Rattus norvegicus: one gene and its partners. The protein of the gene in region 2 interacts with the protein of the main gene of each other region in a pairwise test. Links are inferred from orthologs where the notes say so. Each region holds a gene or a part of one and is shown on either strand. Other genes may lie near its edges. The genes, in order: Copz1, Copg1 and Copz2.

What was found.
Region 1: the proteins of Copg1 (region 2) and Copz1 interact in a two-hybrid assay, tested with the Homo sapiens proteins (2 studies listed by BioGRID). The link is inferred for Rattus norvegicus from reciprocal best matches to the Homo sapiens genes COPG1 and COPZ1.
Region 3: the proteins of Copg1 (region 2) and Copz2 interact in a two-hybrid assay, tested with the Homo sapiens proteins (2 studies listed by BioGRID). The link is inferred for Rattus norvegicus from reciprocal best matches to the Homo sapiens genes COPG1 and COPZ2.

The regions. Positions count from the first base shown.
Region 1 is NC_086025.1:136,305,255-136,308,868, reverse strand, and holds part of Copz1 (coatomer subunit zeta-1), read right to left. Parts: intron 3,306-3,614; coding exon 3,224-3,305; intron 2,641-3,223; coding exon 2,549-2,640; intron 1-2,548. UniProt on the Homo sapiens protein: The coatomer is a cytosolic protein complex that binds to dilysine motifs and reversibly associates with Golgi non-clathrin-coated vesicles, which further mediate biosynthetic protein transport from the ER, via the Golgi up to the trans Golgi network.
Region 2 is NC_086022.1:121,922,616-121,926,819, reverse strand, and holds the start of Copg1 (coatomer subunit gamma-1), read right to left. Parts: upstream 2,859-4,204; 5' UTR 2,753-2,858; coding exon 2,716-2,752; intron 1,702-2,715; coding exon 1,649-1,701; intron 1,312-1,648; coding exon 1,231-1,311; intron 1,024-1,230; coding exon 952-1,023; intron 800-951; coding exon 720-799; intron 1-719. UniProt on the Homo sapiens protein: The coatomer is a cytosolic protein complex that binds to dilysine motifs and reversibly associates with Golgi non-clathrin-coated vesicles, which further mediate biosynthetic protein transport from the ER, via the Golgi up to the trans Golgi network.
Region 3 is NC_086028.1:82,327,588-82,331,707, reverse strand, and holds the start of Copz2 (coatomer subunit zeta-2), read right to left. Parts: upstream 2,821-4,120; 5' UTR 2,811-2,820; coding exon 2,709-2,810; intron 2,326-2,708; exon of another isoform or gene 2,241-2,325; intron 2,043-2,240; coding exon 1,968-2,042; intron 1-1,967. UniProt on the Homo sapiens protein: The coatomer is a cytosolic protein complex that binds to dilysine motifs and reversibly associates with Golgi non-clathrin-coated vesicles, which further mediate biosynthetic protein transport from the ER, via the Golgi up to the trans Golgi network.

The DNA of each region.
Region 1 (3,614 bases), on a different chromosome or scaffold from region 2:
CCAAATTCAAGTCCTCTGAAAGAATAGCAGGCATTCTTAATGCTAAGCAATATTTCCAGCTGCGTTTTGCTTTTTGAGGTAATCTGTCACATAGCCCCAGTCGGTCTTGAACCACCTATATAACTGAGGTTAAGCCTAAATTCCTGATTTTCCTGCCTTGTACTTCCCAAGTACTGGATAATAGGTGTGTGTGCACTGCCGTGCCTCTCTACCTCAGTGTCTTTTTAATAATTATTTTAATGTATACACTATCTGTCTAAAACTATGTCTGTATACCACATATGAGTAGTACCCAAAGATGACAGAAGAAGGCACTAGATTCCCTGAGATTGAGTGATGGTTGTGAGCTCCTATGTGGGTGCTGGGAATCAAACCCAGGTCCTCTGAAAGAGCAGTCGGTGCTCTTAAAAAAAAAAAAAAAAAAAAGATTTATTTTTATTTTATCTATATCCACACCAGAAGAGCAGAAGAGGCATCAAATCCCATTACAGATGGTTGTAAGCCACCATGTGGTTGCTGGGAATTGAACTCAGGACCTCTGGAAGAGCAGTCAGTGCTCTTAACTGCTAAGCCATCTCTCCAGCAGCCAGCACTCTTAATAGCTGAACTATCTCTCCAGTCCCTGCCCCTATGCCTTTACCAAGCTACCTGATGGATCAGTAAAGAGAGAAATTATTAAGAGCTGAGATCAGAGGAAGGTGGTGGAAAGAAAAAAAAAAACTGTACTCAAGAGTAAGGTGTGGTCATGCATGCTTTTTCTTTTTTTTTTTTGTTTTGTTTTTAAGCCAAATTTGAATCAAGCTTTATCAAATCCTGGCCACACTGATGGACACTGGCCAGGTCTGTATCCTGGATTCCCAGAGATTGGCCTCATCATGCATGCTTTTTATCTCCGAATTCGGAAAGCAGAGGCAGTGGATCTCTTTGAGTTCAAGGCCAGCCTGGTCTACAAAGCAAGTTTCTTGACAGCCAAGGCTACACAGAGAAACCCTGTCTAGAAGAAAACAAACAAACAAACAAACAAAACAAGGAAACAGTACCAAGGATCAAATCTGAGACTTGAAATTTGCGATGGGCACACTTCACTACTGAACTACACGTCCAGCCCCAGCTTGGGCTCTCAAGTCAGAACTCGGTCTGAACCTCAGCTTGTTCTACATAGGTAACCTCCAGGGAATTAGTGAGCTGAGTCACACATACAGCTGCTTTTATAGTTTGACAAAAGCCAAATAAAAGTAATTTTATATGGTTCTTTGTGGTTTGGTTTCCTCGTTGGCAAAACAAAGACAGTAATGCTTCCCACCCACAGAAATGCTGCCAAGCTTAAACAATACACTTCACAGAGCACACACATAGCAGTAAGGGCTCAGCAGGACCTGGTCTCTCAAAAGTCTTAGCTGTGATGGGAAATTATCTGGTGGCTTACGTGCCTTCTACTCTCCCAGAAGTTGTTTCCTACATACAAGAAGGTTAGGGATACACTCACAGACCCACTTATACCGTGAGAGCTCATCAAGTGACCCTTTCCTACTGTATGGTTCATGAAATTCACACTTACACACGCACACCCTTGATTACACCTCAGAAATCTACCTTTAAAAAACACTGTGACTGTGGGTAGAGGGCTAGAGAAGTGGTTTGGAGGTTAAGAGCATTGGCTGCTCTTCCAGGGGACCTGGGTTCAATTCCCAGCACCCACATGGTAGTTGATAACTGTCTACTACTACTACTGACCCCCTGTTCCTGGGGACCCAATACCTTCACACAAAAACACCAATGCACATAAAATAAAATTTAAAAAGTTAAAAAACAAACAAACAAACAAACAAACAAAGCACCATGGGTTAGCAAGGTAGTGGTGGCACACACCTTTGACCCAGTATCCAGGAGGCAGAGGCAGGTAGATCCCTGAGACGTTCAAGGCCAGCCTGGTCTACAGAGTGAGTTCCAGGACAGCCGGGGCTACACATAGACTCCCTGTCTCAAACTCCCTCCTCGCGCACACACACACACAAACAAAAAAATGCCATGGGAACTTGGCACAGTGGCTCACACCTACAATCTCAGCACTGAAGAGGCTAAGACTGGAGGATTGCATTGAGTTTGAGACCAGTCTGGGCTACAGTGTAACACTGTCTCAAAAATAAAACAGAAACAAAGAAGCAAACAAAACCTAAAATGCCACTGTGTAGGAAAGAACATTAATACTGTATAGATGTATATTCTAATTGGAGATGGTGGTTCCTGTCTGTAATTCTAGCACCTGGGAAAGAGATGTGATTTGAAAACAGCCTGTGTTATACAGTAAGATACTGCCCCTTACTAAAAAAAGAAAAAAAAAAAAAAAAAAAAAAAAAGACCCAGGAAACTTCCTTTCTGGACTGATTCTTTGGCTGGGCCATTTCTTCTGTAAGGCTGACAGGGATTTCTGACAGACCTCTTTATGACCTTGCCAGAGAGCAGAGGAATGTAGCTCTGCAAGCCCCAAGCCAGTGGCTGTGTCCCACTGGAGTGGCGTCAGAGGTAGCACACGCACAGTGAGTCTCACCTCGTTTTCATAGGAGCTGCCGATCACATAGAAATAGAGATCAATGCTGCTTTTATAGACCACTGTCAGCCCTTCCAACAGGGCGATTTCACCTGGGGGAAGAAAGCAGAAACTGAATGGTGGGAGAAGAGGTGGCAGAACAGGAGTTCCCATGAAATCCCGGGGCCAGCTGCCTGGGCCAAGGAAAGGCCAACTGTAATGACCTCCAAGCACTGAAGCTATTTATTGTTTCGAGGGGTAGGCAGAAGGGACTCAGAAACTCAGGGGAGTCTCTGTTCTCTGGTTCTCCCTCCCCCACTGCACCTACTTCCCTCCCTGCGTATGAGGCAGGGTAGCAGCCGATCCTTCGGAGGTAAAAACGCAGAGCGGTCACCTTTACAGGCTTCCATTTACCTGCCCTAATGGATGCGGTACAATAAGCAGAGCTGCAGTTAAATTTGTCAAGTGAGGCTCATAAATCCAGGGACTAGACAGGTAGCTAACAGCCAAGCTTCTACCATGGTATTCCCGTGTGAGGTACACTCACCTCCCCATTACATTTCTGAAGAGTTTATTATATGAGGGGAGGAGGAAAAAAAAAGAGGAGGCCGAGTCATTTTATCTTTTTTTCTAGTCCTGCTGACACCCCCTTCCTGTGGTTCCCCGAAACACAGAGAATGGTGCAGAATGACCTACTATCCGTCCGATGGGTCTTGTTGAAAATGTTCTTCTCAAAGGCTTTTTGCTCCTTGACACTGGGGTAGGTGTCGTCATAGTACTAGTGGGAGGGAAGGAGACATGGTTGGGTCACCATAGCTGTGAGCCCACAATGATTAGTGAGTGTTCTACTCTGGGATCTTGTATGACCCCTTCAAGGCATGAGGTAACAGGGGAATACTGAGACAGAGAAGCATGGACTACAGAGGCAGGGAATGGGAAGGGGGCGGGAGAGAGGGGGGAGACAGAGAGAGACAGAAAGAGACAGAGAGATAGATTGCTGCCAAGCCTCAGAGCCAGAACCCACATGGCAGAGAGAGAGAGAGAGAGAGAGAGAGAGAGAGAGAGAGAGAGAGAGAGCTCCTGCTAG
Region 2 (4,204 bases):
AGACCATTCAGTATCATCTTTCCAAAAAATTTTTAAATTTATTTTTATTATTTTTAGCAATGTAAGTATCTGTCTGCATGTGAGTATGTATACCTGAGTATGGTGCCCTCTGACACATCAGAGTCCTTTGTAGCTGGAGTAACAGATGCTCTTAAGCCTCCTGATGTGGGTTCTAGGAAAGCAACTGGTGCTCTAACCACTGAGCCATCTCTCCAGCCCCAGTAAGTATCAATGTACCTGAAACTGGCTGTATGGACCCTCTCCTTGGCTAGCAATGTCAATAAGAAATAAAAGAACTAGGTGTGTGTGTGTGGGGGGGGGGGTGTTGTTTTATTTTATTTCTTGGTGACATCTTCTTATGTAGCCCAAGCAGGTTCAAACTGGCAGCTATCCTCCTGTTTTTACCAAACGCTGTAAGTACAAGTGTATAGCACCATGTCCAGTTTTGACTCCCAGTTCTGAAGGATTTCTTGCATCTGTTTTTCTTTTCCTTAGCACTGACTAAAGACTCTCTGAAAGCTCCACACTGGTTGTGCCGTCTAAGGAGGAGGAAGAGAAGCAAGGCCAGAGAAGTGAGAAAGAAGCAGACCACTCTAGAGGCTGGCAGGGGGTGGGCCTAGGAGGACAGGGCACAGGCCAGATGTCAGGAGTCCCTTGGCTGTACGAGTTGTCTCTGTCAATGGGTCCCACCAGAGGAGCCACCCCTGCCCAAGACATGCCTGCTCGTCACAATGATGACATCCTCAGCGATGCAGGACATCTCCTTGATGGTCAAGTAGCACATTCGGCGGAGTGTGGGCTGGAAAAGACATGGAGAAGACCCTATCAGTCCTGCTCAGTGGGAGAGGACCTGACTCAAGAGGAGCCTGACTGTGTGGAAGGCAGTTGTCCTCCTGCCAGCTACCCTGTCACAGGCGTCACATCTGCAGACATGCAGATTGACGTACTTACATCATTGGACTGAAAGAGCTTGGTCATGGCAAAGAAAGCCTCAGTTGCTTCTGTGGTCCCCAGGTGCTCCCCCTGTGGTAATCAGAAAAGACGCAGGTTTGGACAGGAGGTCAGCAGGCTAGACCTTTGGAGCACAAGCAACAAATGAGAGCTGGAAACTTAAGAGGACCCAGGGCTAGACTGTTGGTTCCAATCACAGAGCTGTCAATCGAAAGCTTAAGGGTACATCCCCACTTACACAGTCCCCCTTGTACTCCCTGCCAAGCCCCATCTTGTTACCTGGTTTATGAGGTAAAGGATCTTGGTGAGGATGTGGGCACATTTCCGGGGGTTGATAGGAGTTTCGTTAAAGACCCGAGCCTGTGAAGAAGCAACCATTACCTCTAGCCTAGTACACTTCCATTCCACAGCTGCCCCTCAGTTCATGAAGGGCCTAGAGAACCACGGGGTGTGTCAGTCCACACAAATGTATTCTCAAGTGGGGAGAGCCTATTTCTCTTAACTGATCTACGTTATGACTAGGTAATACCCCAAGTCTCTGCTTGTGCTGCCCTCGTACTAGTCACACTTAGCAATATAATTAGTAGGTCCCACCTTCCTGGGCCCAGGCTCTGTAAACCAGCACTCTATGTATGTTAGTGTCTGACAGCAGGGCTGGCAGGCATCCCTGACCAGACACAGGTATGATGGAACTTGCCTCTTGGAGTACTGCACTCTTCTCCAGGTGCTGGAGGGGGTTGGAACCTCCACCTACAGTGAACAGAGAAGACTGATTACAGGTTGTGATCTTGGATAGATTTCTTTCCTTCTTTTTCTTTTCTTTTTTTTTTTTTTTTTTTTTTTTTTTGAGACAGCGTCTCACGTATTCCATGCTAGCCTTGAACTCAAATTTTAGCAGAGGACGATCTTCCTACCTCTACTTCCTGGTTTACGCAGTGCTGTGGATCAAACACAAGGCTTCATGCATGCTAGGCAAGCACTCTACCAACTGTTACAGCCCCAAACTGGGACCCTAAATTTCAAGATTCTGCCAAACACGGGGACGGGAAGGAAGTCTATATCATCTTCCAGAGGCAGTCAAGGTCCTCTCACAGTCACCTAGCATTCTTTCTGTGACTCTCAAGGTATAACATTTAGCATTGACTCGTACAACCAGAACTTAAGTGAGTCTATGTGCCAGGGACAACCAACACTAACTGACCTGTGACTGAGATGACAGCAGATATTACATTAAGTAATTATGCATGTGATTATCTGGTTACTGTCTGGCTCCTCCATTATGTGACCATCCTAACATTCCTATTGCAGGCATCTAGTGTCGCACTTGCCTTAGGTACTGCAATATCAGGATCAGTGAGGTTCCTGATGTAGTTTATTGAATGAGTGAAAGAAACAGTCAGGGTTATTAACTGCTGGACTGGTTGCACCCAGATAGGCAAAGAACCAACGCAGCTTTGGCAAATACCAAGAGGTCGGGTGGAATACAAGGGAGCACCCATCCTTGGAACCTCCTCTGACAAGATGGGGAAACTGAGGTCCAGAGAGGTGCGTGACCCGCACAAGGTCACGCATCAATTCTGACCAGAACTGGAGAGTGCAAACAGCACGTCTTCTCCAAGAATTGCTATGGACCTGCGCACAAGCCCCTGCCCCTCTCTGGCCTCGAATCTTGTTCTGACAGAGGCCCGGAAGAAGGAAGCCTAGAAAGGTCGCGTGAATCCCCGCGTGGATCTGGCCTTCCCAACACTTTCAAGGGTCCCTCACCAGACTCCTCGTCCTTCTTGTCGAATTTCTTCAACATGGTGCCAGCGGTAGCTCCACGCAATAGAAAGATGCTCAGGGTAGCGGTGAGATCAATTTCTCCCAGCGGCTTCCGTACTCCCGCCCGCCACGTCGCCCTGAGCACTGCTCTTTGGACTGCGCCTGCGCACTCTATCGTCTGCGCCTGCGCACAACTGCTTCCACGTTACACCTTCATTGCCTGCCCGGAGACAGTCAAAATCTAGCTGAGTGGAGGAGAGCGGAAGGCTAGGAATGAGACTCAGGAAAATGGGCGTGGCTGAGCAATGGGGCGGGGCCTTAGACCTGCTGTTGCGGGTGCTCCGCCTCTGCGCCCCCGTGTGTTCCGGTGGCTGATGTCTTTGCAGTTGCTGCCGGCTGAATTTAAAGGGCGTTCTGATTGGGAGAGTTGCAGCACGCTGACCCCATAAACGTTCTCTGTTACTCTTTATTGTCATTTTCCGGAAGTCTCACTGATAGGTTATTTTTACGCCGCCGGTGAAATGAGCCAACAAGCCAGGTTAGAATATTTTAAAGGCAAATTTATTGGGAAGCTGCTCTCGGACAAGTTCACTGTCCCCAAGGATTGTGCCAGGGGGGTCGTCGTAGGCGGGAGACGGGGCGCGAAGGGGGAAAAGGGCACCCGTTGCTAGCCAAGGAACCGATTCCATCAAAGTCTAGTTTTGTAAGCCAATGAATATTAGAGTTATGTACACTTGTGCTTTAAAAATTGAGATATACGGGGTTGGGGATTTAGCTCAGTGGTAGAGCGCTTGCCTAGCAAGCGCAAGGCCCTGGGTTCGGTCCCCAGCTCCGGAAAAAAAAAAATTGAGATATAACTGGACATTGTAATTTCCGCACTCATGAGGCAGAGAAAGGATGAGTTCAAGGCCATCTTCCGGCACCAACCAAAGCTACATGACTTCCACCTCAAAAAATAGAGCCAATGAGGTGGCTCAGCTGGTAAATAAAGGTGCTTGCTGCCAAACCTGAGGACCTGGTTCAATTGTGAAAATTATGAAATGAGTCTTTTCTACTAAATACTGTAAAACTTGTGTTTTGACAAGGAATCCAAATATTGTTTATCTTCCTCCGCCTTGTAAGACTTTTAATACAAAATTTTAAATACCCACACCCAGTAAAAATTTTGTTAACTTTGTAAAAAGGCCATGCTACTCTCAGATTAATGTGACTGACCTTTTCCCCTTTAAATTCCTTTGCTGGGTTTTTTTTTTTTTTCCCTTTTTTCTTTTTTCTTTTTTTCGGAGCTGGGGACCGAACCCAGGGCCTTGCGCCTTGCGCCTTGCGCTTGCTAGGCAAGTGCTCTACCACTGAGCTAAATCCCCAACCCCACTGGGATTCTTTTAAAACTAAAAGACAATGTCACCACCTGAGTTAGAATAAAAATGTGGTTCCCATGTCTGCGTGCTTCTTCTTGGAAGCACACCCTATTAATCAAAAGTCATGTTTGCCT
Region 3 (4,120 bases), on a different chromosome or scaffold from region 2:
TGTAATCTCAGCACTTGGGAGGCTGAGGTAGGATCACTGTGATTTCCAGGCTAATCTGGGCTACATAGTAAGTTCCAGGCCAACTTTGCTTATAAAGTAAGCCCCTGATTAAAAACAAAACAAAACAAAAACCAACCAAACAAACAAAAAACAAGCAAACAAAATTAATCAGGGGCTGGTTGTGGTGGCATCTTTCAACCCCAGCACTTGCAAGGCAGAGGCAGGCTATACACACACAGACACACACACACACACACACACACACACACGCACGCACGCACGCACGCACGCACGCACGCACGTGCGTAAAACAAAAGTAGGGGCTTGCCAGTGATCTCAGCACTCAAGGGACAAGTTTGTTAGTTTGTGGCCAACTGGTCCACAACAAAACAAAACAAAACAAAACAAAAGTATTTGGGGGCTGAAGAGTTAGCCCAGCGGTTAAGAGCACTGACTGTTCTTCCAGAGGTCCTAAGTTCAAATCCCAGCAACCTCATGGTGGCTCACAACCATCTGTAATGGGATTCGATGCCCTCTCTGGTGTGTCTGAAGACAGTGACAGTGTACTTATATACATAAAAAATAGGGGCTGGGGATTTAGCTCAGTGGTAGAGCGCTTACCTAGGAAGCGCAAGGCCCTGGGTTTGGTCCCCAGCTTCAAAAAAAAGAACCAAAAAAAAAAAAATAGTTGGGGATTTAGCTCAGTGGTAGAGCGCTTGCCTAGCAACTGCAAGGCCCTGGGTTCGGTCCCCAGCTCCGAAAAAACAAAAGAGAAAAAAATAATTAAAAAAACAAAAGTGTTGCTAAATTTCTGTTACAGATAATTATATTGTGGCAGTAACTTTATTTATTTATTTATTATTGAATTTTTGTGTTTGCTTTTGAAACAGGTCTTATTATGTATCCCAGGCTGGCCTCAAATTCACAGAGATTCACCTGCCCCTTTCTCCTGAATGCTGGGATTAAAAGCAAGCACCATTGCCTGGCCTTCAAAGTGGCAGAAATTTAGGGCATTTTTTTTCTTTCTACAGTCTTTTCCCTTTTTAACATTTATTTATGTGTGCGGGTTTGTAGGGGGGCAAGGATGGAGGTCAAAGGACAACCTGAGGAATCTGTTCCCTCCTTCAACTACGTGAATTCAGGAACCAACTCAAATTGTCAAACGTGGCAGCCTTTCCCACTGAGCCATCTGTTCTACCCTGAAACTTAGCTTCAAATGGTTTTAGCTTATCTCACCCAAGCCGTGCAGGATGGATACTGGATAACTGAATGGAAGTCCGAGGAAAACTATCTGGAGCCTCAAATCTAAACCCTGAATCCAAGAGTCACTTGTGGGACTAACCCTGTGACCTCAGGCAACCTACTTAGCACCCTAGACTTCATTTTCTACATCCCTGAAGTTAGAGGGCGCGACTAGATGGTCTCCCCAATCCCATACTACATCATTATGCTAAGTCCTTATTGTTTACCTAGTTGAAGTACAAAGGCACACAGGTCACTTTGTCTACAGTTTAGGGACTCAGATTCCTAGGTTTCAGGCTCAACTATCCACTGAACCCCTTTGGTGAAGCTTCCCAGGCCCAGGATGCAGCTGGCCAGAGCAAGGACAAGGAGAAGACATGTCAGGGAACATGAGTAAGAAACAGGAGATCTCCACTCACCCCACCCAGCCCCTCACTGTTAGACTGATAAGGCACAGGGCAGACAAAGTGATTTCTAGAGAATCTAGGCTGGGCTGCTCTGCTATCCAGAACGCAGAGTTTCTCCTATAGGAGGAGTTAAATGGGCTGGGAGAGGGGTTAGGGATTTAGCTCAGTGGTAGAGCGCTTGCCTAGCAAGCACAAGGCCCTGGGTTTGGTCCCCAGCTCCGAAAAAAAAGAAAAGGAAAAAAAAAAAAAGGGCTGGGAGGGGACTGCTTGTCTTGGACAAATGGCACTGTCTTCAGGGTTCCTGTGGGGAGGGGTTACCTTGGCCAGCAGCCTTCGTCCATCATTATCTAGGATGAAGACAGCCTTGATGGTGTAGAGAGAAGGTTCCTGAAACTGACACGAGAAAGGAACCCCTGACTCAAAGTAGACACCGTGTCTTGGGCTCCGTAGAGCCAGCTATCCCCCAATCCACGGCTGGTTCCAGCCCAACCCCTGTGCCACATGGACCATTTCCGGTGCCCACTCCCGCTCCCAGACAGATGTTCCACTGCAGGTCCGAGGAGTGGGCGCTGAGTCCGCTGGGTGCAGAAAGTCCTACCGGGCCCAAGTTCTGTCATGCACTGACTGCTCCAGAGCCCGAGTCGGAGTGTATCACAGAACCTGGGCCCGGGGAACAGCGGCGCCGAGCCTCCTTGTGTCCAGCTGACCCCCACTTCCAGATGCGCGCGGCCATCACCCTGGAGTAAAGGAGCCCAACCAGACCACCTCGCCACTCCCACTCCTCCCTCGTCCCGCCAGAATCTCGCTCCCTTCCCCGCCACCCAAGTCAGTTCCTATCACTGCAGCGAGTTCCCCAGAACTTCAGTCCCTCGACACTCCACTCAGGCCTCCTCGCCCGTGCGCTCCAGGACGAACTTTTTCTCCCTTCCCGGGGCCCAGGCTGCCTCTCCGGGGCTGGGCAATAGTGGCACAAAGTTCCCAGCTCAGGAGCCCGAGGCAAATCGGCTGTCCCCAACCACCATCCTGCCGCCCCGGGACCCCACACTCCGTGCTCCGTACCCTCTGCTCCGTGGCTCGGGTGGGCGGCGCTGCGCCCCCGGCTTGAGCGGCCGAGGCCCCCTCCCCCGGGTGCGGACGTGGCCAGGCCTCCGGCCGCTGCATTCCGCTCGCTGCCTGCACTGACAGCGCCGCCCCGCCCCGTGCCCGCCCCCCGCGACGCTGCCCCTCCACCCAGTCCTGCGTGGCTGGTCTCTGTGTGCGTCCCCTCTCTCTGAACGAGCTTTCCGCCAGACCCCCCACACCGCAGAACCTCATCTCCCCACTTGGATTCTTCCCTCTGGCCTCTCTCTGCACCTCCCAGTCTCTCAGGTGAACCAGAAGCTCCCCACTCTTCCCACTTACTGCCTCTTCTGGCCTAGGTTGGGGGCCTGTAGCTTTGGTGCCCAGAGGTCTCCACGTGGCTGTCCTGGGTCAGCCCGAATCTCAGGTAAGGTTCACTTTTTCCTCAGGACCCCCTAGTAGGTGTCATTGGGACAAATAGCTCATCACTTTTTTTTTTTTTAAAGAACTCTTTTTTTTTTTTAATTTTTTGAGATTTCTCTCTCTTTTTTAAAATTGTATTTATTTTATGTATGTGAGGACACTGTCACTGTCTTCAGACACACTAGAGGAGGACATCTGATGGTTGTGAGCTACGGTAGGACTCTCACCTCCCCCAGACATTTTCCAAGGCCAAGAGGTGGATGAGGCCAGTAGGATACAGCACACTTGAAATCCAGCCTGAGCCTGCGACTACCCCGCCAGAGTACAACACATAGAGTGAGGTAGTTACCGGTGCTTGGGCAGCCAGGCATTCAGAACACTGACAGATATGTCATACACAAGAGCTCTCACTGTATGGCTTTTGTCAAAGCCACCATGTCTAGGAAGGAGGTGTTTTTGGACATATCCATTGAGCAGAGTCAGACTTCATGTGACCTGTTCAAGCTGCTGATTGGGCTAGGCAGTTGAGTGGGAGGGTTCCCAGGCTTGGGACAGGGCAGGTTTCCCCATTCTGACCTTGAGAGCCTCAGTATACAGCATTGCAGTCACACCAGACTTCTTTCCACTTAAAGACACCGAGCCTTTCTCTTTCCGACTTTCACCTTTTTCTTTTTTTAGTTTCATGTGTGTCGGCGTGTCACCTGCATGCATGTCTAAGTGTGAGGGTGTCAAATCTTGGAGTTACAGATGGTTGTGAGCCGCCATGAGGTTGCTGGGAATTGAACTCAGGACCTCTGGAAGAGCAGTTGGTGCTCTTAACCACTGAGCTGTCTCTTCGGCCCATCTTTTTTTTTGTTGTTGCTTTTAAAAATTACACATACTGATCCTTTTATTTATCCATTTATTTATTTATTTACTTGCTTACTACGTATTGATGGGGGGAGGGTGTGCTCGTGTGGAGGTCAGAGACAGCCTACGAGTGTCAATTC